Linked DNA regions of Tribolium castaneum. The protein of the gene in region 1 binds, or shares a complex with, the protein of each later gene. Links are inferred from orthologs where the notes say so. Each region holds a gene or a part of one and is shown on either strand. Other genes may lie near its edges. The genes, in order: Xpd and Polr2K.

What was found.
Region 2: Xpd (region 1) and Polr2K share a complex: the UniProt entries of both Homo sapiens proteins name them as parts of the TBP-based Pol II pre-initiation complex. The link is inferred for Tribolium castaneum from reciprocal best matches to the Homo sapiens genes ERCC2 and POLR2K.

The regions. Positions count from the first base shown.
Region 1 is NC_087394.1:27,620,007-27,636,596, reverse strand, and holds Xpd (general transcription and DNA repair factor IIH helicase subunit XPD), read right to left. Parts: upstream 9,402-16,590; 5' UTR 9,223-9,401; coding exon 9,218-9,222; intron 9,167-9,217; coding exon 9,067-9,166; intron 9,022-9,066; coding exon 8,767-9,021; intron 8,719-8,766; coding exon 8,485-8,718; intron 8,438-8,484; coding exon 8,217-8,437; intron 8,167-8,216; coding exon 8,033-8,166; intron 7,116-8,032; coding exon 6,586-7,115; intron 4,411-6,585; coding exon 4,132-4,410; intron 4,082-4,131; coding exon 3,695-4,081; intron 3,649-3,694; coding exon 3,514-3,648; 3' UTR 3,466-3,513; downstream 1-3,465. Other genes in the region: Tbce (tubulin-specific chaperone E), read right to left, coding at 9,567-9,868, 9,915-10,200, 10,250-11,030, 11,076-11,260; GatB (glutamyl-tRNA(Gln) amidotransferase subunit B, mitochondrial), read right to left, coding at 11,607-11,828, 11,875-11,998, 12,055-12,368, 12,412-12,647, 12,695-13,010, 13,058-13,325, 13,374-13,456. UniProt on the Homo sapiens protein: ATP-dependent 5'-3' DNA helicase. Component of the general transcription and DNA repair factor IIH (TFIIH) core complex, not absolutely essential for minimal transcription in vitro.
Region 2 is NC_087394.1:4,863,041-4,877,771, reverse strand, and holds Polr2K (DNA-directed RNA polymerases I, II, and III subunit RPABC4), read left to right. Parts: upstream 1-5,726; 5' UTR 5,727-5,854; coding exon 5,855-5,918; intron 5,919-5,971; coding exon 5,972-6,064; intron 6,065-6,132; coding exon 6,133-6,155; 3' UTR 6,156-6,198; downstream 6,199-14,731. Other genes in the region: Pfk (ATP-dependent 6-phosphofructokinase), read left to right, coding at 2,270-2,450, 2,566-2,586, 2,863-3,022, 3,975-4,120, 4,169-4,421, 4,753-4,977, 5,041-5,263, 5,317-5,446; AGO1 (protein argonaute-2), read left to right, coding at 12,851-13,001. UniProt on the Homo sapiens protein: DNA-dependent RNA polymerase catalyzes the transcription of DNA into RNA using the four ribonucleoside triphosphates as substrates.

The DNA.
Region 1 (16,590 bases):
TTATAATATTGTTGTTCCTGCTAATCTGTTTGTGTTTGTCTGTTGGAATTTAACCTCCATTTATCCTAATTGTTTTACACAAAAATCCGGAATTTTGGGACAAAAAATCCGAATTGAATAGAATAGAACTGGTGTTTATTAGCATACAAATCGTTTTTTTAATGAAATTATCCACAAATAAATCGTTGACGGTAAATAAACCGAGAGATTTGAACGCTCTTAATACCAATCAAGCGACCAACCTCCACTGTTCCATTACGTGTTTGTTATTACCAGTCGTAAATATGTCAGTGTCACTCATTTATAATTGTTTATAATAACAGTTAAGCTTGTGCGCTGTTCAATTTAAAGTTTTCTGCCCAAACCCAATCGAATTTCCCGATCGAAACCGCCGATAATTTCCCGGCCGCAAGGCCGTCACGTCTCCACATTCCCCACATTCCTTCAACTTACTCCCAGTGTCCCTAATCCGTGTCCCTTAATCCCAGCACAGCACCATCACCCATCCCGAAACAAGCGAAAACCGGGAAAAACATGTGACGATCACACTGCACCACGGACTACTTTGTTTACACCCGACAGGTGGACGAACATGCGACTATCTGTGAGGCACCGACTCGGAGGCCTGGCAGGTGTGTGTATGTGTGTGTGTGCACCTGAGGCTATCTTTGAACTTACTACCTTGAATGACCGACTGGGACCGAAACCTGTCTGATTATTGCGGCGAGGAAGATGGGCCGAGGGGGGCGCATTCCGACCGCAATTGGGGGTTTTCCGGATGTGGCCGAGGGGTGCTTGGGGCCAGTGGAAGGGGGTAGTTATTTATTGCAAGGGATTGCCCCCAGTTGCAGATAAAGGGGGCGGGATAGGGGCACTAGCCGAAGACAATTTATCGAAGAGATTTATAAGTGGGATTGCTGGGGCAAGTTTGGAAAAAAGCGAAAAAACCAAAGAAAGAAATTTTCAACAATCAAAAAAAGAATGGTGTATTGTTGGTTGCATAGTCTCGAGTAGTAAACTAAGTACTGGTGCTTACAGTAAAACCTCAATTCATTGGGTTCCTCCAAAGATTTTTGAACTTGTTTAGGTCTGAGGTTATACCGTATTTAGAAATCAAATTCTTTATTTCAATATCGTCGTTTTAATTTTAGTTTTGAATCTCTGAGTTTTAAGTTTTAAAGTCTGAATTAGTACGTTGGCATTTTTTATTTTTAAACATTTTGTATTTTTTTTACATTCTTAACTCGCAATACGAAAACTGAGATGGAGTCAAGTCTTGGAATTTCTTTTCCTTACTATTAATTGTTAACTTTTAAATTCGATTTCAGCTTTTTTAATGTTTTATCAGTTTTTTTGCAGTTGTTTCTATCTAGCCAATAAAAAATTGGCTATAGTTAAATAATGGATAAGGCAAACAAAAATATTAAACAGATAACACACAATAATAAGAAATAAAGGCACCTAATTATTATTATTAAAAAAATAACTTTTAGGAGTTTTCATGTGCGTATTCGCAGAGTTTTGAACAATAAATCACGTTTGTTGTAAAAAAAATTTCTGGAGTTTTTCTTAGCTTACCTTGAAAATTTGAGGTATTACGTTTCTGTCTATTTTTCTAAGAAGATAGTGAACTATAGTAGATGTCTATGGACCGGTTTATAGAAGCGTCATTAATTTAATTCGCAATTAAATGCGTGATTAACTGATCATATGACCCAATAGAATAAATTTGATTGGTCCATTCGCGTTGTTAAACTGTTAAATTTGAACAATGAATTAAGTTTTAACAATGCTTTTTATAAACCGGCTTTAAATTAATTTATATCCATATCGTGAGCTAAGAATTTAGCTATTTTTTCTTTCGTTTCGCCTGTTTGAATTTAGTTCTCCCTATTTATGAAAAATACTTACTTCAGACGTATACTTATACTTATATTTATACTTATAATTAACTTATACTTATCAGTTTAATTCTGAATTGGATCTTAATTTCGCGTTCTGTAAACTGACCCTATGCCCATTTATTGTACGATTAATGTATCTACCACTTTAATATTTAATAAATAATAAGTATAGGAAAAAAATTGTGAGTCTTTTGAGTTATCTTTAAAAAAACTTAAAAAAACAAGAAATTTGGGCGAAAATGGTTTTAAAAGTACCAAAATAGGCGAAATGTTGTTTAATTTTTGTAGTTTTCGACCTCTTAAACAGATTTTTGAGCCAAAAATTCAAGTTTATTCACGAAATATTCGCCCAATCTGATAGTAAAATTATAACAAAAACTAACATTCATTGTTACTAGGAAGAAATTAAATCATATTTGGTAATCAGTCAAAAAAATTAATCTGGGTAGTTTTCAGCTTTGTCTGACGAGGAATTTTATCTTTTCATGAGTTGACACCGCTTAAATATTGCTTGTACCTAACTTTGCTACCGTATTATGACAACTAATAAGATTCAATCAGTTATAATTTTGGATTTAATTTTTTCTACAAGGTGATTTTGAATTTCTAATTCGGTTGACAATTCTTAACTTCATTTCTAAGAGCTAAACGAACCATATACTAACAATAATTCAATATTTTTGTTAGGTTTTACGTATAATATTTGTCAAGCACAATCGTTTTCGACTGCAGTATTGCAAATTGCTAACAAAAATAAAATACATACATAATAGGAGACATACGTCCAAATCTGTTACCAGATTTTTCACGAGATAATTTTATGTTGTCAGTGTGAGGATTCAGAACACTTGTATGTATATCTACTTATACATTATTCCAAAATTATTTCACGCAAATCCTTTATTTTAACAGTTCATTGAACCTTAATGAATATTTCTTGTGTATTATTAGTTGCACATACCCTAAGCGTACCTACCTTAGTTTGAGAATTAAAAAAAAAATTGTTATTAGTGTATAACATGCTACATAGCACGAGCTTGTACAATATAATGCATTGCACCAAACATATTTTTTATCCTCTCGGTTGTTTTTTTTTCAGATTAAATCGTTAATTTTCTGTTGCGAAATGTTACAACTATTTAAATAGTTTGCGAATGAGTGTAGATAATTATCTTCATCCGAGTTAATTACGGAAATCCAGTTTTTAATATCAACCATCAGCAATCTCGCTACTTATCAGAAACCAGAATTATCCATATATTCTCTTATTGGTGACATAAAAACGAGTCAGGCATTCAGATTACGTTCTATTCACGCAAAAAACCTAAAATTTCTGGTTACGAACAACTATTATGCATTCTTGTCTAATAAATAATCGTCAGTTTCCTTTTTAAATATTCTAACTAACTTCAAACCCAATTAGTACTATTCCAAGTAAAATCGTAACTAGTTTTCTCCTTCACTGAACTTGCAGCGCACACCGGAAACAATCAACAAGATACCTCGTACTAAAGGAGTGTAAGTGCATTTTACGCTCAATTGGGTCAGGAAATCAGGAATAAAACATTTTTTCTTGAAAATACTTTATTACGTAAAAAATAATAACAAATCAATTTTGTTGCGCCTGCTCTTGGATTTTACTCGCCTCCAAATTCTGCAACTGCTCCAAAGTGAGCAAAGACACCCCCAACTGGTCCTCCCTAGTGAACGGCTGCGCCATCTGTCGCAACCACCGCTTGGCAATCTGCAAGTCAAACTCACGCCACTCTCCCTCACAACCCCCAACTCACCTGGACCGCCTCCTCCGTCGACAGATTCGTCAGAGAGTCCTTCAAATGCTCCTGGATCCACTTGGGCAACTTTGACCGCTTATCCGACCTGGAAAACCTCTTATCGGCGAAAATCATGATACCGTAGTCGGTCTTGCCCCTGATAGCCCTCCCCACGCACTGGGCCGCGTGTCTCATGGCGTCAAAGGTCAAAAAATCGTTCTCCCGGATCTGGAACTGGTCCCGAAGGTAGTCGAGGCGCGCTTTGAGGATGCGGCTCTGGGTGTACACGTAGGGAATGCCGAACATGAGGACTGCGCGCCCCAGGTGGTGGTCGAAGTCGACCCCTTCGGAGACTTTGCCCCGCGCGACGGAGAGCAGCACGGCCCCGCGGCCCGACTCGCAAGCCTGGAAATTCCTACTTTACCGACTGTGGACAGGCTGGGGGAAAAACATACTTTGATGTAGTACATGAGGGCGAAGCTCGTTTCTGCCGAGTCTTGGGTCTCGATGAAGAGGAGTTTGTATCTTTGGAGGCTGTCGATGACGCCTTGGTCGTACCAACTGGCCACGACCGATTCCAGGTAGAGATAAGAGGTGAAGAAACAGACGATTCCGTCGGGGACATTGGCGGCTATTTCGACCAAGAGTTGGCCGTAGTTTCGGATAACAGCATTGTCTTCGCGTGTCTCGAATTTTGACGAAATTGCGACTTGGTCGTTGCCTTTTGACACGATCTAAAACGACCAATGAGATGATGATAATGATGTTAAAAGTATACAGTTAGCGGCAAAATTATTTAAAACCACACTCGTAGTTATTTGTATACCAAGAGAGGACAGACATAGGTTCTCTCCCGAAGTTGAACTAATGCCCAAAGCGAAGCAGAGTACAGTAATCTAAGGAAGAGAAGAGACTTTCTTCCTCCAGTGCTATTATTATACGTATGATTTTTTCGCCGTCTTCATTAAAAGATATCGTTTTTCACCCTACAGATATTCCATGACATAACTTTAAAATGCAAAAATTGTCCAACAGGCTAATTCTCTTTTCAATTGAACTGAAAATTTTACAACTTTAGGTTTTTGAGTAATGGTCTCTCGAATTTTTTTAATGGAATCCCTAATTTTTTAGTCTCTTCGAAACATCTTACCCTCTGTTTCTAAGACCACTTATCGTCGGATAGATTTTTATTGGTTGCATATTTGCTAAAGTAGTGAATGGAGATGATCTGATGGGTGTTACGCAACCGATAGAATTTAACGAAAGCCCGTTCTAGAAATGTTAGGTGACAACATAAATTTTAATACTACTAACAAAAAGCAAACTAATAAATTTGTTATTTCGACAAAAAAAATCATGAGAGTAGTTTCAAACACAAACCTATTACCTTCTTTTTGTATTTTTGGAAACAATTGGAGAGAAAACAGAGAATAGACCACAAAATTTAGACGATTTGAAAAGTCCGGAAGTTCTTCGTAATGTGGGAACATTTCGAAAATTTTAATTAAATAAAAGAATTATTTTTTGTTAGATATTTGAAATTGTGTTTGTTTTTTGATGGTATTAAACATTTACGCTTTTCACTCTTTTGGATAGTTTTTTTTATTTTTATTTATTTTGGTTCAACAATTAAAAGATCTATCGACATGGCTAAAAAGAAATTGATTTGTTCGAGCATTTCTGCCATTATAAAATATCTTAGGTTTTAATAAGATAATAGTTAATAATAATTTATCCGCTCACTGAATATGGTATGGAACCAAGCGTTTTTTGCCAATACTACGAATAAAATAAATTAAAATAAAATAATGGGTACATTATCAAGTTTGTTAATAATGTAATTATTATTTTTGAAGAATAAAATTTTTCGGAATGAATGACGATTTATTGATTAATTTTAAATCAAAAGTATCAAAAGTTTTGAACTTAATAGTAGAAATTTCTAAAGATAAGATCCAATATACTCTTTCACAGTAATACAACTTTCAACTTCCGAATTACAAAAAATTCTGTTACCATTTTCTGAAATACCTACTATTAACTGGTTTAAATCATAAGCAATCTTTTTTGATATCAATGTTTTGATTTCAGGGCTCCAAGGACAACAGAAAGGGTAAGTTTTTACTTTTTTGTAAGTTGTAATGAGTGTTTATGTTACGGACACGTTTGTTCATCTTTTTCCAACTAATCAGACCATATTATATTTAAAAATGGTGAAATATATCGTAGTTGCATTTTTATCAAATTTGCGGAACATCAACTGCATTATTTTGGCACGATTTTTGAACAGGTTCCTAATTAATTAAATGGAACATCCATTTTTTTTTATTTTTCTAAAAACTGTATGTTATGTCTGAAGTTAATAAATCAAAAGATATTTGACTTTAAATGTTAATTCAGTTCTTATTCAATAAATAAATTATAGTAATTTCCACGGATAAATGGTTCAGTTATTTTTCTGTAATAAATGACGAATAATGGCCTAAGCGTTGTTATTAGCTAAAATTTTCATTTTTTCCACTAGTGAATTTTTTTCATGTTTAAAGGTTAATATCGCATCTTTTGAGTAATTAGTTAATTACTAATTACTGTAAGTAAGAGACACCAATCTTTCAATATTTTTATGTGATAAAACTTAAAAGTTTCCTCATTTTTTTAACTCTCCAAAAAATGTTGAAACATACCTACTTTCTTCCTTAAAAATGATTCAATTTTTTTTTTTTTATTATTCTTGGTTTTTGAATAATTACCCCAAAACTTCCTCACAAAGAGTCATGAAAAGCTACGTTCAAAAATGCAAAAAATAAACGGTGTTTATTCCGCACATATACTATAAATTTTGTGCAAATTTATTTAAATAACTTAACATTCAATGGTCAATGATGAACTCCACCAACCTCTGGACTTACCATTGGTAGCAAACAAGGCCTGGCCAACGTCATAGTGAACGAAGACATGATCACAGGATGGAAGTTCAAAATCTTGGGGTACATATCTAGAGGGGATAGGGTTCCAGAGGTTATAACCACGGTTTGAAACCGATCAAAAACCGGTTTTATGGCAATCGACGAATCCAAACAACTGAAATGTAAGATCGGGTTTGACACCGTCGGTGTCTTATCATCAAACGGTTCTACGATTATCGTAAAACCTTTCGTATAAGTGGCCACCAAAGTGGCCAAATGTGTGACTAAAATGACCGGACTGAAGTCGGTCAAGTCTGATATTTCCAAAGTTCTCAACAGAGATGCCAAGCGTTCAGCACAGAAACGTAACGGTTTTCGTTCAATACAGACTTTGGATTGGACGTCTTTTAAAAATCCAGCAGGGCTTTCTTGCACCACGTGCTGGACTCGCAGCCGAGTTTTGAGGTATTCGAGGAAACGTTTCAGGAAACTGACAAAGTGCTCGGCGTTGCGAATATTTCCAGGGACGGCCTCTGAAAATTAATAAATTACGCAATTTAATTTTTTTTCGAATTACTGACATAATAAATAACAATCAGCCCAAAAAATTAATTCGGAAATGGCAATATTTTTGCCTCTGTCTAGCATTTAAGTGCATTTTTGAGCTACAAAATTCTTCTCAAAGCATTACTAAACCAGGCGGACAAATCACAAAATATCATCGAAAATGCGATTATTTTTGCATTTTCCGAGCATTTTGTATGGTTGTTTTAGCCTGAAGTTCAATGATTTCGAATAATGCCCTCAAAAATAAGACAAAAAATAAGCAAATAAGTTTACTTTTGAGAGATTTCAGCAGAAAAAAGATTCTTATTTAATCGAAAATGACATTATTTTTTGCTTTTTTCATGTGTTTTTATTTAGAAACAGTTATTTCGTTGAAGATTGTTTCGTTGAAAAATATTCGACTGAATTAGGTCAACCAAATTTGGCTTTACCGAGTGTTTACCAGGTTTATGAGAAAAAAACAAGGTTTTCCTCCAAAAAAATTCGTTGAAAAAAGGATGAAAATCCAGGAAAATATATCGCAATTGATGCTACCTATTTTATTTATTTATTGTCAGGTCAGGTCAGGTCAGATCTGTTTAGTTTTTTAACTTTGTTAAACATGTTTAAAAATTATACACAAATCGAAAATTATACTATTGAGTTTGTTTCATTCGAATGACCTCGTTTTCGAGTGAAATTTTGCTAAAAATAAGTTAAAAATTATCAAACTTTGAAAACAGTGTTATTTTTTAAATTCTCAAGCTGTTAAGTACAAAGTTTTTTGGCTAAAAATCACTAAATTTCTTCATTTTTGTCAACGCATTAAGCTGTGTCTATATCACTCAGTGTTGCCAACTTAATTTCAACGTCACGGAATATATAAATCTAATTCGGGTATTACCCTGGAGGATGGCGTCGGGCAAGACCGGATTGGCCAAAATGACGTCAGTGTCTCGCGCCACGCTAGCGTCGCGCAGCCCCTCAACTAATCTCTGATATTCTTCTTGCAATTTTTTGTGATCGTCTTCACGCATCCTAAAAAATTTTAAAAAATCCAGAGAAAACTTAAACTTCCGGGGATTTACTCGGCCACAGTACGTTCCAATAACTGGATGTTGGCGGAAGCTCGATCGATAATTCGTTTGTTGATTTTCACACTCATTGAGTCGATGCAAACATTATCGATATTGTGAGCCTCATCGAAAATAACAACTGACTCTCGTGTCAGCTCTTTGGAGACGACTTCGGCGATCTTGGGGTCTAGTAAATAGTGGTAACTGTAGACTACGATATTCGCGTAACTTATCTAGGAAAAAGGGTCAGAAGTGCAATGTAAAGTGTGACCTCAAGTACCACAAAACGAGACAGGAAATAGGGGCACCAGTTGCGGTCCCGTCCGTACTGTTTCAAATCATCTATACTGTAAACCCCAAACGGCATCGTACTTTCTTTGCCATCCAAAGCGAAACCTTCGTAATACTGACAAATGGGAGTTGTATCATCGTAATTGTGCCTCTCCCTTATGTAACTCGCCGTTAGTGCGTGGCATTTTCCGTCCACAATCTTACCCTCGCGCTCAGTACTCACCTGAAATTTGCAAAATCAAGCCCGGTTATGCACCCCCAAATCACCTACTTCCGGGTGAATACATAGATTCTTCCGTGAGGACAAAACCAGCCCCAGGAGATGGGGGTACTCCCCGTCCAACTTCTCATAATACTCGAGCAGTTTTTTCAATTCTTCCATAACTTTCTCGATTTCGGGGACAGTACGAGAGCAGTAGATCAACTTGCGGACGTCATGGGGGTGCTCGAGCATGTATGCAACAACGAGGGAGAGAATGGTGGTGGTCTTACCCGTCCCTGAGGGCATTTCCAAAAGGCAGTGGCCCTAAAATTAACATAAAAAAGGGGCTGTGAAAGGCGGGGAGCGTACTTTGGCGTCCAGGGCCCGCTTGAGCTCGCACATGTAGGCATACTGCTCGGGGTAGATGTAGTCATAGGGGAAGTACACGATTAAGCCATCGACGTTTAGTCTAAAATTTTCGGTTTTGAGGCAACTCAAGTGCCAATAGTCGGGTTCTTACTTCATTTTTTGTATGGTGCTGGGTGAAACCGTGGTGTTTACATTGACCCGGTAGTTTTTTTAGGTTATGGCATGTTTGGAAAAAAGTGCGGTTATGCAATTTTTTGTAATATTTTCTAACAATAGGAACGTTTCTATTGCTGCTAATCGATTAGTAAGGAAGAAGGGGGCCTAAAAATTTAAGTCCTGTGAGCTGGAACCACGTATTCTATCAGTTATTCAAAGATTCTATAATAAGTAGGGTTATGTAATGTATTCAAGTATTCAAGAAGAAAACACCTTTTTATTTGGAAAATATTTATTAAAAACTTTATTGAATAAATTAATGGTTTTGTACAACACAAAATCAATCACACTTTGTCTTTCACGATAATTTTATCACCATTTTGCATTGAGTAAACTCCGATTTCTTTCATTTCATCCTCTAGAAGAATCTCGATTTCTGGATCGCTCTTGCTGGCGTAAATCAAGTGGGGCCTTCCACTCAAGCTGAACATTTTCTGTGTGAGGACTATAAGTTTTTGCACAGTCATTGTGAGAGGCACTTTCTTTTCTACCGTAAAGTCCTCAAAAACTATACTTAATTGGACCAACGTATTTTTAATAATTTTCGGTTTTGAGACAAGTTCACTCTCTTCCAGCTCGCCATATTCTGCAAAAATAACCGTAAAAACGTAACAAAAAAAATATAAACAGACTTTGTATCAATTCCAAATATCTGTTGTGGGTTTTGAGAAAATCAGCCTCTTTGTTGGTACCCTTGGCGTCCAACCATTCAAGACCGTACTTTTTCATGTAGTCGTATTCAGCCCCCCGTCTCTCAGTGGCTTCAATCTCAACCCCATTTAAAATTTTCAAGTTGGCAATTTTTGCGATTATTATTTGATGGATAGTGTCAGGTTCTTCCGATTCTGTGATGGGGTTTTTGGAAAATCGCAGATTTTCTAAACTTTCAAGCCGATTTAACTCAGCCACAGAACGCCACTAAAATCAATCCTCTCATGAACGGAAACGAACAAAGTTTCAGTCTTACCTCACGGATCAAGTTTTTCACAACACATAATTTTTTCATCGCTCTGAAAGCTTGTACTTTGGGGGAATCACCCTCAAACTCAATCAACTGGAGCCCAATATTCTCCAGAATAAGTTGCTCCAAGTGCGGTAAATCCCCCAATTTGCAGACCTCCGTCCAAAACTCAATGTTATTCCCTTCAAGATCGAGCAACTTTAATTTGGTGAAAAACCCCTCAGGTGTGCTAAGCCCCCGGATTTTGTTATTCGGAGCTCTGAACTCTTCAACTGACGGGAAAATGCGTCCAAGTTGGCAAATGTGCCCCCAGTCCAAGTCCATACACCCACAAATCAGAGTTGTCACGTTTGGAAAACTCTCACTAATCGTTGGCAAGTCCAGCAAATTCTCACTAACATTCAGCCAAAAAAGCCTCGGCAACTGGCGGCAAATCTCAAAAACGCTCTCCCAAGACACTAGCAAATTTTTCGAAATGTCCAACTCTTCAATATTCGGACACGTTTCTCCGAGTCGTAGCGGCGGACCCGCCGAATTAATCCCTTGGTCACGCAAATTGACGATTCTCAACGACGTGAAGTCGCTCTGTTTGTGGAAAACCTTGTCAAAGCCGACCATTTCCAAAAAAGGCGCGTTCATGTTTTGTTGGATAAGCAGCTGCTTCTGTTTGTTGATTTTGGCGGTGAATTCATCCTCGAACTGGCCGTAGCGCGACTCAATCGACGCTAGGGCTGATTTCCCGCAATTGACCTTCTCAGGCCTTATGAAGGAACCTGAAGTCGGGTTTCTAAAATTTGGTAAAGTCGGGGTAAAAATGAATGGGGATCAATACCTGGTGGTGAAATATTGCACTCCGTTGACGCGGCCGTCGTGTTTGCCCCGCTGGGGGTTGTCCCAGTCGATCCCGAGCCAAATTGAGGGCTTGCCCTCGATGGGGCCCACGTATTTTACCGTTCCGATGTAACCGCCGCTCTCGACGCGGTCCCCAATTTGGCAAGGAGAGTGCGAATTTGTCATAGCTGTGATGTCTACAAAATTATTTGTGATGATTTTTTTCGCAAAATTACAGTGAGGTTAGGTTGGAAAAAGGGTATAAAAACTTACTTTTTTCAAGTCAGGTGGGTTAGAATCAAGCTAAATTTATACCGTACGGCCAAATTGTTACAATTATTTCAATACATACAACACATTATTGATTTAAAAGTAATATGAATCACAATTTTTTTGACATTTGTGATCGGCCCACGAAATCTTATGCGCGTCGAGACTTAGGATATTTTGCGCCAAACGATTCCGGGTTTTCACCCGAATTTAAGGAAAAAATAAAACACAACAAATACATTACGACTGTTTATTAACATGATTACTGTTTATTCAACAATTCTTTTAAAATCTTATCACATTTTTTCATGTCTGCTCTTTGTTTACTTTTCGTCGCCACGTATCCAAGAAGTGCTTTAAAAACTTTCGTTTTTCCGCCCTTGTACTGTTTCACAACTTTTTCGTTCTGGTCTAAGGCCTCCTGACATAACTGTCTCAACGCATCTTCGTCGGTAATCTGTAACCAGTTTTTTTCTCTCACGATCTGGAAACAAATAATTCGTAAGTGAAACAACTTCGGTCTTGCAAACCTCAAGTGGCCGTTTTGTGCTCCCTTGGATGATTTCGTCCAAGACGAGCTTAACCGTGTTTCTTGTGATTTCACCATTTTGCAAAAGTACGGCAATTTCCCCAAAATAGTCAGAATTAAAAGAACTGAAAAATGTAACTTAATCCCGATCTAAACTACTATGTTTCCGCACTTAACTCACAATTGGCTCGGTTCTAAATCCATCTTATTCAGAATCGAGGTGTACTCATTTATCAACAAGTTGGCGAGTAGTTTTCCCTCAATTTTTTTCGCCCTCCAAACGTCCTCAAATAAATTTAACAGCGAACTATCATTCACTAAAATAATGCTTTGCTCTAGAGTCAAACCGGAGCTTTCCCTCAGTCTAACTCTCGTTCCTTCCGGTAATTCCGGGAGAGAACTTTTGAGGGAGTCAACACTGACGCACCCTTGAGACACCGGACCCATTGCCACGTGCAAGGGGGGCAAATTAGGCTCCGGCATGTACCTATAATCCTGAGCAAATTTCGAAAATTTGACACAAAATTGAAAAAAAAACCTGCACTTGCTCCTTGTCTCTCATTGAAACTGTGACTTTACCCAAAGCGTCCCAAGCCCTAGTTTCATTCTCCACAGCCCCCCCAGACTCCTTCACTTGAATCTGGCGCTCGATTTCGTACCGAATCGCCCCCGCGACGCCCCTCACCGACCCGATATTCTTGATCTCCGTGCGCACCCCCAGAGCCTCCCCTTGTCTATTTATGGACACGTTCGCGTCCACCCGCAGGGCCCCCTCTAAAAATTTCGTAAGAATGTTGCCATTGATTTTAAAAGGGGCCCACCTTCCATTTTGCAGCTGCAAGTGCCAATGCGTTGCAAAATCGCGATTAATTCCTTAACTAGGGCTGCGGCCTCCTCGCCGTCGCTCAAATCGGGCTCGAAAACGACCTCCATTAGGGGAACCCCCGCACGGTTTAAATCAACGAGACTGCGGTCAGTGTCGTGGAGGCTCTTTCCGCTGTCTTGCTCCAGCTGGAGCTGCTTAATGCGGACTTGCCTCTTGTAGGGGGCTTTGTGAACACCGGGGCTAAAGACTTGGAATTCGAGACGGCCGTCGTTGGCCAGAGGGTGTCTCTGCTGGGTTATTTGATAACCGGCCTCAACGCAAAAATATAAATCACCAAAAAAACTGGTCAACAACTTACAGGGAGATCTGCGTAAAAATAATGTTTGCGGTCAAAAGTTGAGACGGGATTTATTCGACAATTCAAAGCTAGCGCCGTTAAAACCCCGAATTCGACGCATTTTTTGTTAAGTACGGGCAAAGTGCCGGGAATTGCGCAGTCGAAAAGGGCCACATTTGCGTTCACGGGGGACGAAAACTTGGTTGAAGCACTTGAGAATAGTTTACTGGTTGTGTTAATTTGGGCGTGAACTTCCAAGCCCACGACACTGTTCCATTGATTGTTGGCGCTAAAAATCCAAATTTGAGTCTAAATTGGGCAAATCTAGCCCCCATACCCCGCTTTACTAGAAAATAAACGTCTGGTTCTTTGACATAAATGACAGCCCCTGCGAAAATTATAGGTAAATTTATTGAACATTTTGCCTATTTTAAACACGTCTATAAAACAGTTTCCCTTTTTTTTTAATTTATATACAAATTTTTGGAGATAACCTGAAAATCGGAACAATGACCTTCAGGTCCAGAGTGGCCAACCATAAAAAATTAGAACGTGTTTACGTTATCACGATAGGAGCCTAAATAAATGGTTGTATTTTTTGTTGGTTGTGGTAATTTAGAGTAATTTTTTTCAAGAGAATGGGTGAGATTTGTGTGGTGTTCTTGAGTGGTTTTATAAAATTTGCTTTTTTTCCTGATTGAATTCGTATTGGTGCACCTGATGACGCTAAAACGGCGTCAAATTTAAAGTCTTGCAGTTTATCCGTACAGTATTACAAAAATTCGTGGCTTATTATCTAATTAAATTAACCGAATAGAAATTACAAATATTTATTTTGTTATCGTTTAAAAATAAAAATTACGACAAACAAGCTGTGTTTTCTTAGCGATAAATTTTTTGCCCATTTTCCGGGAAAACCTATCACTAGTAGCGAATAGTACTAGTTGAAAAAAAATTATTCAAAGATTTTTAATGGAAACTGATGAGAGAAATTTTTAATGATTGTGGAAGTGTTAATTAATTAATGCCCAATTAACCAAAGAAATGCAACGTTGTGTGTATTTATTAAACTGGTGGCGATGTGTGGCTGAAAATTCCTCGGAATTAAATGAAATTCAAATTTAATTAACGATTTTTTTAAATTTTTTGTTAAATGTCATCGTATTCCCAGCGCTGTCTCGCCGCCTAGATCGGAGCACCTGTTGTACTCCCATCCTCCACATGCGAGGCCCGATATCTCCATCTCATGCTATTTCTCAGCGAGCCAATGAAAACAAACTAATTCAGTCGTGTTGCGCCGGCAAAACAGTGCGCGTCGTAATGTGATATGTAGAAAAATCGTGGCCAAATATTTTACAATTGAACTGGAATATTTAACGAAACGTAAACAGAGCCGTTAATTTCATATGTGCTTTCATTCTAACCGCTATGTGCCGTTAAAACACCGCCAAACCGTCCGAATTCCACATTTGAGTGATGTAAATTTGGATTCAAGATGGCCGACTCTTATTACCAGGTGAGAAACAATTATGTATTTTTGTAATTATCTCAGCGTTAATAGCGACTATTAGCGCACAAGCTGGAAATTTGGCTAAGTAATGGGCTAATGGATGTCCTTGCGGGCCCGAGTGGCCAGGTCGCAGCCGTAAACAGATTAATTATTAGGTTATAATCTGGGGGGCTAAGCGAATTATCCTTAATTGTCTCAATTGCTGCGTTACGCTGTAAGTCAAGGTTTTACGTTCATACCGGTTTATTTTCGGATGCAAGTTTACTTATTTGTGGTTATCCCTGTTTTCAAGGTTAATGTCTTATTAATAAATAATTTGCCGTAAAGGTGGGAACGCTGGCCACTCGAGATAAACTTCACATTAATTAACCGAGGCTCACACATAAGGCAGTGGCATTGATTGATATCTGTTTTCTATGTTGTTGATCGGGTTTTTAAATGAGTGACAAGTATGGAAAATGACAAACAAGTCGCTGATGAGCTGCCTCAAATGCTCAGGAATTCACTCACTTTCTGAAACAAAATGTTTGGAAATTTGTGCCCACGTTCGGGTAAACAGGAATTCGGTGTTGAGATTTGGAAAAAGGATGCTTACTTTTAAAACTGAACAGGAAGAGCAGATGGTTTTCTAGTAAACTTAATTGTATCTGATTTGTAGCAAGAATTCAAGCGATTGGAATAAAACCAGATGTTTTTGGCTTTAATCGTTTAATTATTCTATACTTATCTTTTCCGGCGAAAATAAAGGGTCATTAAGGCAATTACAGGCAAGCAAAAATAGACATTGTTTGCTAACATGTAAAACAACAGGAAGAAATGACGATTTGTGTTCAAAAACACGTAGAAAACTGGTGATTTTTCTTATCTAACGCACACATCACAGGTAGTGTTAGATTAGGCCGGTTTTCGGGGAAATTTATCTAAATTCAAACTTCACTAGACCATAAAATCATGACTGGTTTGTGGTTTCAGATATTTTCAAATGTTGCAAATAAAATCATGAGATTTTGTTTTTGTAAACAGTAAAATGCAATAATCTCTGAAAATATCTCATGTTTATGCAAAATATTTTTGAGGATGCTTCGAAGGTCGAGTTTTTCGTTTCCCGATGTGGGCGGTAAAGAAAACTTTAAAAATGATCTATTTCTCCAAAATTTTAAAAAAATCTATGTTTGTTTTTCTTTGTTTTCTCAAATAGTCCGTAAAGTGTTATTTTAGTGATGGTTAATCTGTTATATTCGTCAGTGAATAATCATGGAAATCGTCTTAAAAATGACTGAAATAGTCCACAGAGTATACATGTGTGTAGTTTTGGTTACATAATGTTTCGTTTAATTAGCATTTCTGAAAAAAATGAATGTTTGAAGTTATTTTTTACATTCATATTGGTGATAAAAAATTAAACTTAGCTGCCTTGTGTACAAATAAATTATTATCTGATAAATCTTATCAATGGGTAATAAACATGCATTGAAGTCTTCTGTTTGCGTTTTTCTTGAGAAGCTTTGAAATCTTGGTGTTTCCCTCCCGTCTAGAAATTTCCCAGAGGTGTGTATCGATTTCCTATTCGCTATATTGTTTTACGCTTCCCATCAGCTACCATGCACATTCAACCAGTTTCCATCTGGGCATATCAAACCTCCACCTAGAAAAGAATTTAAATGAGAAAACCAGCTTCGAGTTTTGAAGTTGCGGACAAAGTCAGTTGTTTGGTTATTTGTTTAATAATACCCGAGTTACGGTACGTTTTCGTTGCGACTGTCTGCGCTTGGATATCGAACTCCTTTTACCGCAGTCAGCGGTGAAACATTGTTACGTGATGGTCGATGTGTACAGAAATCATTTTATTTGTCTTTAGTATTGTAATTCAATTCGTAAAACTGTGGTCGGTGATTGTGATACATTTGCGAAATGGTTGGTTTTCTTTCGTCATCTTGGGGAATATTTTTGATGCAACTTTGGTGACACTTTTTTTAAAGACAAATCAATACTTAAATCCTATCTAATCTAATCGAATTAGGACAAACTGGGTGTAGTTAGTTTT
Region 2 (14,731 bases), about 23 Mb from region 1:
AAATTCTTCTATAGATGTTTATTTGCAATTATTTTCTAAACTTTAGCCAAAATTATTTCTCATTGCTTCTATTCCTTATCAAATTCATATAAATTTTACTAATTCTCTTCAAATGAAATTTTTTGTCTAATTTTGTTTAGATTTTTTCCTGAGTATTTTTTAGCATTTTGTTGCTGAATTTTTCTCTAGACTTTCTTTGATTTTTTGCTCAAATCGTTTCTTAACCTGGACTTCCGAATTGTTTTTCAGATGCAATAAAATAAAGTAAATACAGAAATTTTCTCTAAATTCTCTTAGATTCTACTTTGCGTTTTTTAAAGATTTTTTTATTTTTTTTTCAAATTATTTAGATTATTTTTTAGTATGGTTTCTGTACTACGTCTTTCTTAAAATATATTCTTCTCTGATTCTTTTGTAAACCGTTTCTAGATCTTAAATCGGGACTCTTCTTTGAATTATTTAATAAAACAGCTTTTTTTAGATTACTTTATAAATTCTTCTCCAGTTGCTTCATTACAAGTATTTTTTGGACATTACACTCTATTATTAATTTGCTTCTATATTTTTTCGACTTTCTACAAATTCTCTTTTAGATTGTAGTTTGCGTTTTTTTTATTTTTTTATATTTCTGTTTAGAATCCTTTGCGATTTTTCTCTAGCCTAGTTTTTGTACTATCTAGATTTTTTTCAGTTTTTTCTCTGATTTTTTCCTGATATCAAATCTGAGCTCTTCTACAGATCTTTAGATTTTTTTTTATATAAATTCTTGTATAGATGCTTATTTGCAATTATTTTTTAAACTTTAGCCAAAATTAATTTTTCATTGCTTCTATTCTTCCACATTTTTTCTACATTTTTTAAATCCATGTAAATTTTACCAAGTCTCTTCAAATGAAATTTTTTCTCTAATTTTGTTTAGATTTTTTCCTGAGTATTTTGTAGCATTTTGTTGCTGAATTTTTCTTTAGTTTTTTTTTATTTTTTACTCAATTCGTTTCTTAACCTGGACTTCCGAATTGTTTTTCAGATGCTTCTTCACAATAAAATAAAGTAAATACAAAAATTCTCCTAGATTCTACTTTGCGTTTTTTAAAGATTTTTTTAGTTTTTTTTTCAATCATTTAGATTATTTCTTAGTATGGTTTCTGTACTACGTCTTTCTTAAAATATATTTTTCTCTGATTCTTTTGTAAAACCGTTTCTAGATCTTAAATCGGGACTCTTTTTTGAATTATTTAATAAAACAAGCTTTTTAGATTATTTTATAAATTCTTCTCCAGTTGCTTCATTACAATTATTTTTTTTCGACTTTCTACAAATTCTCGTTTAGATTATACGTTTTTTTATTTTTTTTTCTGTTTTTTGTTTAGAATCCTTCGCGATTATTCTTTAGCCTTGTTTTTGTACTCTAGATTTTTTTCAGTTTTTTCCTGATCTTAAATCTGAGCTCTTCTACAGATCTTTAGATTTTTTTTATAAATTCTTCTACAGATGCTTATTTGTAACTATTCTCTAAACTTTACCCAGAATTATTTTTCACTGCTTCTAGTCTTTTAGTCTTTTAGTCTTTCACATTTTTTTCTACATTTCTCAAATTCATATAAATTTTACTAACTCTTTTTAAATGAATTTTTTTCTTTAATTTTGTTTAGAATTTATTCTGAGTATTTTTTAGCATTTTGTTGCTGTACTCTTCTCTAGATTTTTCTTAACATTTTTCTTTGATTTTTTTGCTAAAATTGTTTCTTGATCTGAACTTCTTCCAGATGCTTCTTCATACTAATTTTTCCATATTATGCTTTAACATTATTTGTGTTCTCTTATCTAGATTTTTTCTAAAATTTTTCTCTGATTTTAAGCCGTTTGTGAACTTTTAGATCTTATAGATTCGTTTATAACTTTTTCTCTAGATTTTTTTTATAATAATTTGGTGAGCTGTATTTATTTTTTTTTAATTAACACTTTCTCTACATTTTCCAATTTTTTTTACATTATTCCAGTTTCGATCAAAATTGATCTGTTATACAACTTATTATTCTAAATACAAAGTTGGATAGTTCAAAAAGTGCATTTTTTCGTTGTAATAAAAAAATTCTTTACATCCTATTACTACTCATTTTTTTAATGATCTTAAAGTTTTCTAAATATTTTATTATCATTTGCCAAAATTCTAAAAAGAAGATTATTTTCTGTGTTAATTAATAATTAATTAATTAATAGTTAATTTTAAAGTTATTTTGCTCGATTCCAAAATAATTGTTTCTCTAAGGTTGCCGTTAATGGATTGCGTGAAGCGAACAAAAGCCGTCTCACAGGCAATGGCTGATAAGAAATTTGATTTGGCGGTGGAATTACGTGGAAAGTCATTTATGCGCAATTTGGAGACTTATAAGTTGTTGACTCGACTCAAGCCTCCAAAGGATGCATTTGATGAGCAAGGACATGGAAGGGTGAGTGTTATTTTTTAAATGTTTGCATGTTTGTATGCGTACATAATGTGATAGAAAATCGGCTGAAGTTTGTTTTCATTTGTTTTTGCAAAATTTTGATTAATTTCTGCTTTAGCGTCTAACTGATCATTGTTCGGTGAGTATGATGCTTAAAATTTGGCTTTTCAATTTTTCGAAATCTTTTTATTTGGTTCTTATGTTTTGTTGTGTCGTCACTTTATTTGTGTCATGTATTCAATTGAATTCAGTATCAAAATTTCAAAAATGTTCTTCAAATGTTTTGAAAATATAGTAATTACAAAGATTTCTGCTTTATAGTTTCTTTGGCTTTTAACACTTAAGTGGTGCTAACATTTTTGTGTTTAATTAAACTCTGTATACTATTCTTTATTTCGCTTGTGTTGCCATTCAGGAAGGTTTCACAGTGGCCGTAATGCATATTGGGGCTCCTGCTTGTGGCATGAATGCCGCTGTACGTTCTTTTGTACGAAATTTTATCTACAGAGGAGACACAGTTTTGGGCATTCAGGAAGGAGTTGAAGGTCTTATCGCTGGCAATATAAAACAAATGGGTGTGTATCAATTTTTTTATTTTTAGCTAGTTTTTTGGGTAAAAATTACTCTATTTTTTGTAGAAAAAATATAGCTATTTTTTAATTGAGAACAGATTAGAAACTGTATTAGATAGTTCTTTCAAAAGCATTTACTTACTTTTGTTTTTTCTTCCACTATTTAGTTTTTTCTTGCTTCTTTCTTTTTCCATCTTCATTTTTTACATATATTTTTTTGCTCATAAACACTTTCAAAGGCTCAAAAGGGTCAAAAGCAATAAATTCTCGATGAAGAGAACTAATTTTTCGACTAATTTGAGTAAAATTTTGCCTAATAAGTGGTGATACAGCTCTCGAAAAAACAAAAATAACGTCTTCTTCGGTTAAACAGTTGTTTTTTCACATAATTTCATGTAGAATATTGCGAAATTAGTAAATAAATAACCAACTTTTCAACTCAAAAACGCATGAATAACGTTTGATTTTTTGTAACCGAGATTTTCGTTTAAAAATATGGGATAAAAAGCAGCAAACGTATCGTAATTTTTAATTATAAGATCCTCTCACACTTTCTTATGTCATATCATTTTTTTTCTACCTTTATTTTTGTTAAATCATCTTATCGCTCAAAAAACCGTCTTTAAAAGTTTGAAAGAAACATGTGGTTTTTCGATCATCATTAACTTCGTTTTCGGATAATTTGGTTAAAATATTGCAAAATTAGTAACAGTAAAATAATTACTCTGAACAAGATTTAATGATATAATTAAAGTTATTAACTTAAAAACGCAGTAAAACTCTCGAAAAATAGTTTAATTAAACTTTTTCATGCAAAATGGACGAAATAAAAAAAATTAATAAGTTTTTTCCATATAAATATGCGTAGACACTCAGGAAATACATTATTTTTGACGACAATAGTTAGTTTTTTGTTTTGTGGGTAAAATATTGAAAAATAACGAATTTTTTTCAGATTGGGCCGAAGTGGCTGGTTGGGTTGGCATCGGGGGTGCAAATCTGGGCACCAAACGCACCCTTCCTGGCAATCGTATGGGTTTAGTAGCCGCCCGATTGGCCGAATTTAAAATTCAAGGTTTACTCATTATTGGCGGCTTTGAAGTAAGTTTTAACTTTATCCGGCTCGAAGAACTAAAAATTGTGGTTTAGGCATTTGCAGCCGCTGTACAATTTCTAGACAGCCGTAAAGATTTTCCAGCTCTCAATATACCAATCGTGGTAATCCCCGGAACTATCAGTAACAATGTACCAGGGACGGAATTTTCACTAGGTTGTGACACAGCCTTGAACGAAATCACCGAAATTTGTGATAGAATCAGACAGTCGGCTCAAGGCACGAAAAGGAGGGTTTTTATTATTGAAACCATGGGCGGGTATTGCGGATATTTGGCCACACTTGCAGGTAATATCGATATTAAGTTGGCAACATTGTATGAAATGAAGACAGTTTGTGTCTCAAAACGTAAAATATTCGACCCTATACAGGTTGTTTCAGAACTACTTAGTTTTTGACGTAATTTATTTCTTCCAAAATCCTCCATTTTAGAAATAAAATATAGGAGTTCGTATTACTTGTATTATCTTATTTCTGATACACCTTGTATATTTGATGCATGGGGTAATTAAATATCTATTAATGATATAAAAAAGGTAAATATTAATGTTTAAGTTTGACAGTCAATGTTGCCAACACATTCATTATTCAGCATCGCCAACTTATTTTCACATGTTAGGTCTCGCTGGGGGTGCGGATGCTGCGTACATTTACGAGGAAAAATTCACAATTAAAGACTTGCAACAAGATGTCTACCACATGGCTACGAAAATGTCCGAAGGTGTACAACGTGGTTTAATTTTACGTAACGAAAAAGCGTCAGATAACTACAATACCGACTTTATCTACAGATTGTATTGTGAGGAAGGAAAAGGCTTGTTTAGTGCCAGGATGAACGTTTTAGGTATTTATATAGACGTTTGTTTGTTTAAAAATTTAATACTTTTTTTGTGTGTGTATTGTTAAGGTCATATGCAACAAGGGGGTTCCCCCACACCTTTTGACCGCAATGTTGGTACCAAAATGGCGTCCAAAGCGGTCGAATGGATGATCAACCAATTAAAAAGCAATATGAGTTCAGACGGCTCAGTCAGTTGTTCTAGTCAAGACAGCGTCGTTCTGTTAGGAATCGTTAAAAGACAATACAAGTTTACACCAGTCGCTGAGTTGAAAGAACAAACCAACTTTGAGTACGTTTATAAATTATTAAACTGTTTTTTATAATTACTTTAAATTGTTTTAGCTTGCGTATGCCTAAAGAGCAATGGTGGTTGAAACTGCGCCCTCTATTGCGTATTTTGGCAAAACATGATTCGACATATGAGGAAGAAGGGATGTATATGACGATTGAGGATCGCAGTTTTATTAATTAAAGGCAACCGTAGCCATTTATAGTGAATTTGTATTTTTTAGCTTGTTTTATTTATTTTATTGTGTAGTTTATTTTATTAAATGAGATATTGTAAACAAATTTTGGCCATATTGTGATGACAATATCGATATTTGAAGACGGGTCAAGTGTTACAAAGTACGATTCGAGCTGGGTATGTGGAATGGACGTATTATATTTCAATAAAATTTTAATAAACTATCAAAAATTCCTGCACCTTTTTGAATTTCGCGCTTGTATACGTTGGCGTTGCCAACCGTTGGAATAACAAAAAAAAGATGAAATTCCCTAAGTCGGCATGGTGGCGTTGTTTTTATACAAAATTTATTAGAGGAGAAAACTACGTTCCCGCTCGTTTGTATTAAAAATTGTGCTAATTTAAGTGATTAGGATGTCGGAACCTTCGACCAAAGACTCAGGGGCCACGAAAACTCCCATGGTTTACATTTGCGGAGGTACGTGAAAGTGAGGTTATGTTTTGATTTGAAAATTTTCGAAAATTATTTAGAATGCCACAATGAGAACGAAATAAGGCCGCGGGATCCAATCAGGTGCCGGGAATGTGGGTACCGTATTATGTACAAGAAGAGAACCAAACGATGTATCCTTTTATTATCAATTACTAACACTTGCAAATTTTCAGTTAATTTTTCCTTAACTTTGATCCAGTGGCCGTGTTTGACGCCCGGTGAAAAAATTGTAATTAATTAAGGTTGGAATAGAGTGTTTTTTACATTGGGGTTATTATTTGCAAACCTGTCTTTCCCCTTTCCTACGTCCGACAATTCAAGCACCTTGGGCACCACCTGGGGCAATGCATCGATTTCCCAGGGCCCAGTTGTAGCGAAAATTTCAAGGTCTCGCGCAAGGGCAGTGCAGGACCACTTTCTGCAACGCAACCTCCTCTTTAACCAAATTCAAGGTCGTCCATGTGCGATCAATAAAACTAAATACACGCAGGTTCTACGCCGGTGTCTGAGCGCGCCGGTCGCGACGTGTGGCTTCGCCGTTGAAAACGCCGAGAGTAAAAAATTCGCCGATTTTTGGACTGACAATTGTCGGAGGAGTGAAGGTGGTGCAGGACGTGGGGGCCAATGATGGCCGTCTAGGGCTGCGATAACTGCGTTGTGTTATTGCACCACGTGCTGAAAGGGCGCCGGCGAGGTTTACCGTTGCGTGCCGGTTTCCCGCCAGCGCACTGAGGTAATTTTGATTTTTGAAGTGTTTTTTTGATTTTCCCCAAAATGTTTTTTTGAGCCTAAGAGACCACAACCATGGTGTGATTTTATTAAATTTTATGGAAAAAACCTATCACGTAGGATAGGTTTTAAGGTTTTGAGACATTGGACAGCCATGCATTTTGTCGGATTTTTTTTTTTTTTTAATTAATTACGGCAAAACTGTTCGAATATTATGGAACTATTTCATATGAAACTATGTAAAATGATCCTTCGTAAAGAATACCTCAATATCTATCAGACAAGATGGGTTTTAATTGATTTTGAGACACTTGTCAATTTTCAATTATCAAGAAATTGCAAAAAACCGAATTTTTCATTTTTTTTATTTTCTCAATTACTGCAAAACTATTCTAAAAAGTGGACCATGTTGGTGCTGGCTTATGGAAAATGTCCCGGTGAATCGATTGGCGTCGAGAAAATTGTCAAATTTCGAATAGTTTTTTAGTTATGAATTTTTTTAAATTTTACTTATTTTTGCTTTCTTCTACAATTTTCTCGAAAGCTATTAGTCGGAGAACAATAGTCTTTTTTGCAGAAGATAGATAATTAAAAGAGCTTTTCAACGATAATAAACTTCATGGTGTAATCTCTAATAGTTCCGGAGTTATTACATGATAAATGTTCCAGGTACCGAAAATCGACAAAAATCTCGACGAAAAGTGGAACAATTGCGACGAAACTATAAGACCGACAGCAAAACGGTTTGTTCCATTGTAAAGAACAGATCAAAATCTATCAAATAGGATGGGTTTTGGCATTTTTTTTTTTCTCAAAATTTTGAATTTTTTGGAGACAGGGGGGGGGGGGGTGTTAACAAATTTTTATTTTTTTTATTTTCTCAATTACCGCAAAACTATTTAAAAAAGTAGAACTATTTCAATTCTAGCTTATGTAAAATGATCCGGGGAATCGATTGGTGTCAAAAAAATTGCAAAATTTCCAATTGTTTTTTAGTTATGAATTTTTTTAAATTCTACATATTTTTGCTTTTATATCTAATTTATACGAAAACTATTAGTCGGAGAATAATGTTCTTTTTTGAAAAATACAGATAATTAAAAGAGCTTTCCAACGATAATAAACTTCATAGGGTAATCTCTAATAGTTCCGGAGTTATTGCTCGATAAATGTTCCGGGTACCGGAAATCGACCAAAATCGCGACAAAATTGGAAAAATCTTCAAACTTCAAAAAATCGAATCTATTGACTTTTATTCTACTTCTAATAACTCGCGAAGGTTGTAAAGGCATAGAAAAATTCATAAAACTTTGGTAGCGTGAGTTTTTTTTTTAATTTTTGTGAAGGTTCTAAGAGTTCACCAAAATTTTATTCTAGTAATTTTCAAATTTTAAATCACGTGAAAAGTTGATATAATACGTAGAATGAGCCGTAGAATTCAATGGAACAAACCGTTTTGTTATAAGTTTATGGTTTTCAGGAAAAACTTGCTAGTTTTGAAATTATTACGTTTATTTCAATTTTTATGTAATTTTTTAAACACACGTACGTATGGCTTGTTTTAAAATAAAATTATTATTATTATTATTATTATTATTATTATTATTATTTAATGTTAATTACATAAAAGAATTGTAGCAAAATTCTGTCATGTGCAAGAAAATAATTCCAGTATTTTTAAGAACAAATGTGGATTCTGTGAGATTATTACTTTTGAGATAAACTTTTTTTTTCTGAATATTTTCCATTTAGCAGATTTCCACAAAATTTTAAATAAAAATTATGTTCTCTATTTCATACGCGAACAATACAAGTTACTTCAGAATAAATAAGTAAATGGGGAGGGAGGTTTGTTATTCTCCCATTTTTTACATTCATTAAGTGAATTCTTTTTTTTTATTTTTTAAACCGGGCTTTGTTTACGACAAAATGCGGAAATGGTACATTTTTGTAGTTTATTTACGCTGTTAACGTTTCACTGCTGTAATACGAGGCATCGGAATGATAATAATATCCCAGTTGTAATAATCATAGTAAGAATTGGTCGTTATCATTTTTTATCTTGTTTATTCTTTTTATTTTTGCTTTGTATTTTAAAAATGATAATGTACCTACAAAATAACAAAATCTAGTATTAAGCTAGGGAACAGTTGCCTGTTTAATAACTAATTCTCTGATTTATCTTAGAATTATTTTGTCAAAGGTGTATTAGGTCATTTTGAAAGATAAAAGGTGTTTTGAAAATCAAAACACATTTATAGTCGAATGAAATAATACATAAATTTGTGTTTTTTTATATTTAAATTCCTGGTTAAAGAGGTCTGTACTTCGAAAATAAGTTGGCAACATTGAATAATGTAGTCACAGAAGATACGATACTTTTGATTATAAGATTTTTTTGTTTCTACTGTCTTCAGTATTGCCAACGAAATTCGAAAGTCACAGATTCATGTTATCGCTTCGTGTTATCGGTAGAGTTAGACTTTTTTTAAACTATTTTTTGCAAAATATTCATGGAGGTAAGATATGAATCATCCTGTATATGTTTTCGTATTTTCGACGAAGTTTTTATTTGATTGGTTAAAAAGGATAGCAAATGTGGATGTATTTAAAGATGTCATTGACATTTAATTATGTTGGCACACTGACTTATTCCTAGTAATTCCCCTGCCAATCAGTGTCACTACTCCAAATTATTCACAGTGGCCAACCTAATTTCAGCGTCACAGCCATCTTGATGGAAAATTTCTGTCGACGCATTTTAATATTTTTAATCCCTCTTTTGTAGAGAAATTGTCCGCCACCGCCGCCCCCTCCGAAATCGTATTTCCCATCGTTACGCAACCGAAAACCCCCTTCGTCGCGTGCGCGTGCGCACTCCGCGTCCACCTAAAATCCAGACATCCATGTATCCAAAACAAGTGCTCTCGCGACAAAAGAAACCGAAAACGCAGTGAAATTAACGAGTTTTATGTAATGTCAAACTCGGAAACGCTCTTCTCGTGTGCTAAAGTGGCCCCTCTGACATGTTTCAGCCAATGTCAGCCCGAGATTAGGACAATCAGACGAGGTAAATACGTAGAAATCAAGTTGGCGTAAATGCGGTGTTGTCTTGTCCTACAGCCGGCGTGGCCTTGAAACCGTATTTTCAAGATCTCTGTTGGCCTAGGCCAGGGCCTACTGTCGTTTCGTTTCACTTTCAAATTGCTATTTTCGGATCAAGTCACCACCGCCGCCGCCGCAGCACACTTGTCCTTTCTTCTTTTCCGATGCGTAATCGCAATTGCCGTGCATTGCTCTTCCGATGATAACAAAACAAGTAACAACAGAGCGCTGGTTTGTTTTATTACGCCGTAACATTTTTGAGTGAAAGTTGGTTGTACAGGTGGAGCAAAAGTGCGCTCCCCGATTTACTTTCTTCCCTCTGGTTTTATTACGACGAGGGCCGGCGAGGGTGACTTGATCCGGTGCATTTATTCGGGAGTGCGGGGTTGGCTGTGGAACAGGAGCCGACTTGATTACTTGTTTTTAGGGTTTCTCTTTTGTTTTAATCGGACGCGCGTTCGGTTATCTTATCAGTATTACGTATGACGTTCGTTTTATTCGATTGCAGTTGTGGACTTGTGTGTGGTTTATTAGAAAAGTGCAGGGAAAACCAACAAAGGACTGAAATGTAATAATAACACCTGTTGGTTAGACAAGGTACCTCTCTCAGGTAAATAAACACGGGATTTTGGTGGATTTTACGACACGATTTCATCGTAGAAAGCGGCGAGATTAAGTAAAGATTAAATAAATTATTATCGTTGCATAATGGAGTAAACAAAGCTACTTTGAATTTCTTTACAAAATATGTAATAAAGAGACTATTGTTGGAAGCGGCAGTCTTTTGTTCTGTTTATGTTTACAGTGGTGACTGCATGAAGTCATGATTTTTTTTTATTAAATTAAATTTCCATAAATTATCACTAATTAGTGTCATTTTCCTCGAAAGATTTTTATTTTAATACACGCCTCATTTCCATTCATTCATGACTTGAGGAGGTATAAATTGCGATAATATCTATCATATTGCATTTATTTATACACTGTTGCCACACACCTGGTGATTCACCGCAAAATCAGTTTTTAAAAATACAGATTAAAATTTTAAATTTTTGATTAAAGTGAGTTGTGACTTTGAATTAAGTTGGCTACATTAAATTCAATGTAGCCAACTTAATTTCGAAGTCATTGGCCACTGTGATCTGAAATTTAATTGGAGGCATGATAGTGTTAGAAACTTATACAGGGTGATTCAAAAGCGTCGGACCAACTCGTATGGTTAAGGGACGTTTATTAAAGCTTATAAATGAAATCAGATTTTTTTCTAAGCAATTTGATTTCTAATTTTCTTTTGTTTTTTTTTGGTTTTAATTGTTTTTCTTTTGCTTCCAATGATGTCATATTTAATTATTGTTTACTTTGTGAGTTTGTTAAATGTTTGTAAGATTTGTCTTTTTCGCTAAATAAATTCAAAAACTGAACTAAAAACCTAGCTATGAAGAGCTTTATTTCGTGAAAGAAGGCTCATACAATTTTTTCTCGTAGGAACTTTTATCTCAGTGTAATGTCTTTTATCACTTGGTCAGATAAACTTCAGAGAAATGTAAAATAATTTATTCAGCTAAAAATAATTGTCAAGGAATGTGGTTGTGGTCTACAAACTACTTCATTGTTTTGCATAGTTTGTTTAACAATTCTTTGTTGTAAAAACAGGCTTAAAAATATACCTTATCAGTGTTGAAGTTTTTATTTTAAGAATTTACTTCCGTGTTTACATTGTTGTCAGCACCCACAGACTTTTGGGTAATGAGAATTCTAAGCCAATCACATTGCGTTATTTTGTTGTCATGTTTAATTTATGAAACTGTGGAATACACACTATAAAAACTGCGTTTTAGCATCAGGTTATAAATTGTTAAAATTATAAATTTTATATAAAAATATTGACACTGTTATTAGTTTTCTAAAATCGACTAGTTTTTTTCTTTTCTAGTCGCTTATCTAAAATTTGTTTTTATTTAAATTAATTTAGACGCCAGGTATATTTGCCATGATATGAATATTTTTGTTGAAAATATAATATAGGATAACAATTTAAATTAATATTCACATTTTTAAAGATATTTAATAAAAATTCAATAAATGAATATAAATAATAAGTTAAAAGAAAAATGGCTATAACATATCCTGCATTAAACGATCGGAAAACCCGACCTTGCCCTTGCCCTTGCCCTTGCCCCGATTTAGTAACCACCTCAGTATATTATAACCTTCATTCTTTCGGTTCTCAAATGACTAATTGGGTTAAAGTACTTACATTAAAATCAGGATCTGTTTTTTTGTAGAATTGTAGCATTTTAATTTATTGGTATTTAAATGAAACATGGATTTTTTTTAAGGAATATTAAAAAATTACTATCATTAGTCGAATTTTATTATTTGTAGTGCTTACGAACTTTAAATGATATTTTTAACGAAAAAGCTGCAAAAAAATAAATATCACTAGCTCCAAAATAACATTCTTTGAATGTTTAATTTTTATTTAATTAATAATTTTTTGATCATATTTTTTGCACTTACCAACATTTAAGCATTTTTGTGACATAAAAAATAAAATTGTTGAGAATTATTTCCGTAGTTCAGATACATTGAAAGATACATTGGTTTGAAAGTTAATTATTTTTTTAATACGAGTAAAAACATAATATGTATAAAAAATCGGGATGTAATTAATAGTAAAAGCCGATTTCTATGTGACTATTATGTTTTGAGATACAGTAAAAATATACTTTTTTGACAGCCCATTTTTTTTAATTACATTGTTTTTTGTTGATTGTTAAAAGTGTACGTATCTTTAAACAAGCCAAAAAGTAAAAGAGCTACTGAGTAATGAAACACCTAAAAGAAATGTTTGGTGTTAGGTCGAGTATTTAATTTAAATGTTGACTTGAAAAATCGCAACCAGAAAAATAATTTCGTGTCACGAGAAAGCGGTCGCGAGACACCACACAACAAACCGGATGGTGAAAAGGGCGCAGGTGTGGCACTGTTGTGAAACAACAATAAACATGCCACGAAATGCGATTGTATTGTGTGTATGTGCATAAATTTGATGTATTTTTTTCTTCATTTTCAGAATAAACATGTCTGCTGGTACAGAACTGAAGAATATGCAGCCAGGTATACCCCAGCTGCTACCTGATCTCACAACTTTAAGTCTCATCGGACACAGATCTCAAGTGAATAATCATTTGTCGCATCACGCGACCATGCAACAACAACAGCAACTAAATGGTGATTATTACCTCTAGTTTTATTACTGCTACAAAAATTTGCATTACGTTTGATGAAATTATGTCAATGGACGAAAAGAAATCAATATTCAATTAATACAAATGTATTCAAGTTTCCGTATTCTACGGAAAAGAGACATTTTTTTACTTTAGCTTCGACACCTTATTTCGAGTAGAAGTGATTATAATTAACATGTTTCTCTTCTTTCATAAGATTTTGACGTTTAACAGATTAATTTGCGCTTTATGGAGCTTCTGAATCTTAGAAAACGTCTTCCAAGTCAACGATTCGTTGAGGTGAAATTTTTGTGGCTCCTGGCGAACTGTTCTTGGAGACAATTTACCAAAAATACCAGCAGCACTAAACCAAAAATTACATCTCACACATTACATTTTATCTCTTGAATCGACTGAGTTTCACCGAATGTTTACCGTTTTTCTTTCTTTTAATTTATAATAAATTTGAATAACAGCAATCTCAAGGTTGAGGTTGAATTTTAGGTAAAATTGTTTTTTATTTGGGAAATTTCAGAATTAAAGAATTCGCGGTCAAGGAAAAAATGTTGTAATCAACTCTTCAGGGATCTACTTTTAAATGCACAATCTTTGTTCGTGCTTTAAACAGTATTCATTATTTTTATTTTATTCACAAATTAGTTTATTTAAATAACGTAATACTATAACGTAATAATTTTATCAACTTGAATGTATTAGAAAAAATATAGAAATATTTTACAAGTTTTGTGAGCTGTGTTATGCAACCAAATATACACTTTCAGAAACTTTTGGGACACCCGCCTACTAATTTATTGTGTTTGTGGAACACACTGATTTGGTTTCGTAAATTTTTCAAAAAATTATTTTCTATAAATATTTAAAAAAATCTAGTTAAAATGTCGATTTTTGTTTTATAAGGCACTAATTAGCAATAATAATCTCTAAATTTAATCATACAACATTTTTTCACACTTTTAACAATTAATGGCAATTACTTAGTGTTAACTTTATGTCACATTTAAATTTTTCGCTATATCACAGAAGAACTATTTGAGAATTGATTATTATCGAAGAAATGCCGCTTTATAGAACTACTGAAATGCATTCAGAAATTATCAATTTATTGAAAATTAATTTACATATAAAGTTTACTAGATGAGAATCATTTTAACACACTTTGTATATCGACTAATCAAAATATTAGAAGTCTATTTTGATTTTGTAAGACGCTAATAGTAATAATTCTCACTAAATATAATCATACAACATATTTTCACATTTTTGGGAATTAATGGCTATAGTAGTTATCATTTGTTTTCTTTCATTTAAAAATAAAATACAGTATTGCCAACTGAAACAGTCACTCTAGATCACCTACTAGATAGGTGAATTAGCAAAAATTAACGTTACAGAAAACAGGAAAGTTGAAGAGTGTAATTATAAACTTTTTATTTTCTTAAAACTTGATTAAAAAATTGCTGCTGTGTATCAAATTGAAGACACTGTGTTTTAAATTTCAAAATTCGCCCTAAAAGTTGGTTGTTGACACAAATTATTTAAAATGATTCCGACGTTTTAATGTAATATAAAAAATAAAAATGAAACTGAAGGATTTTGCCAATATTTCAGCATTTTGATGACAGAAGACAGATAAATATGTTTTATGTGTTATATGTGATTATTAGTTTGTGAGATACAGTAAAAAATATTTTTAGCAGACTAACCTTGTATAGT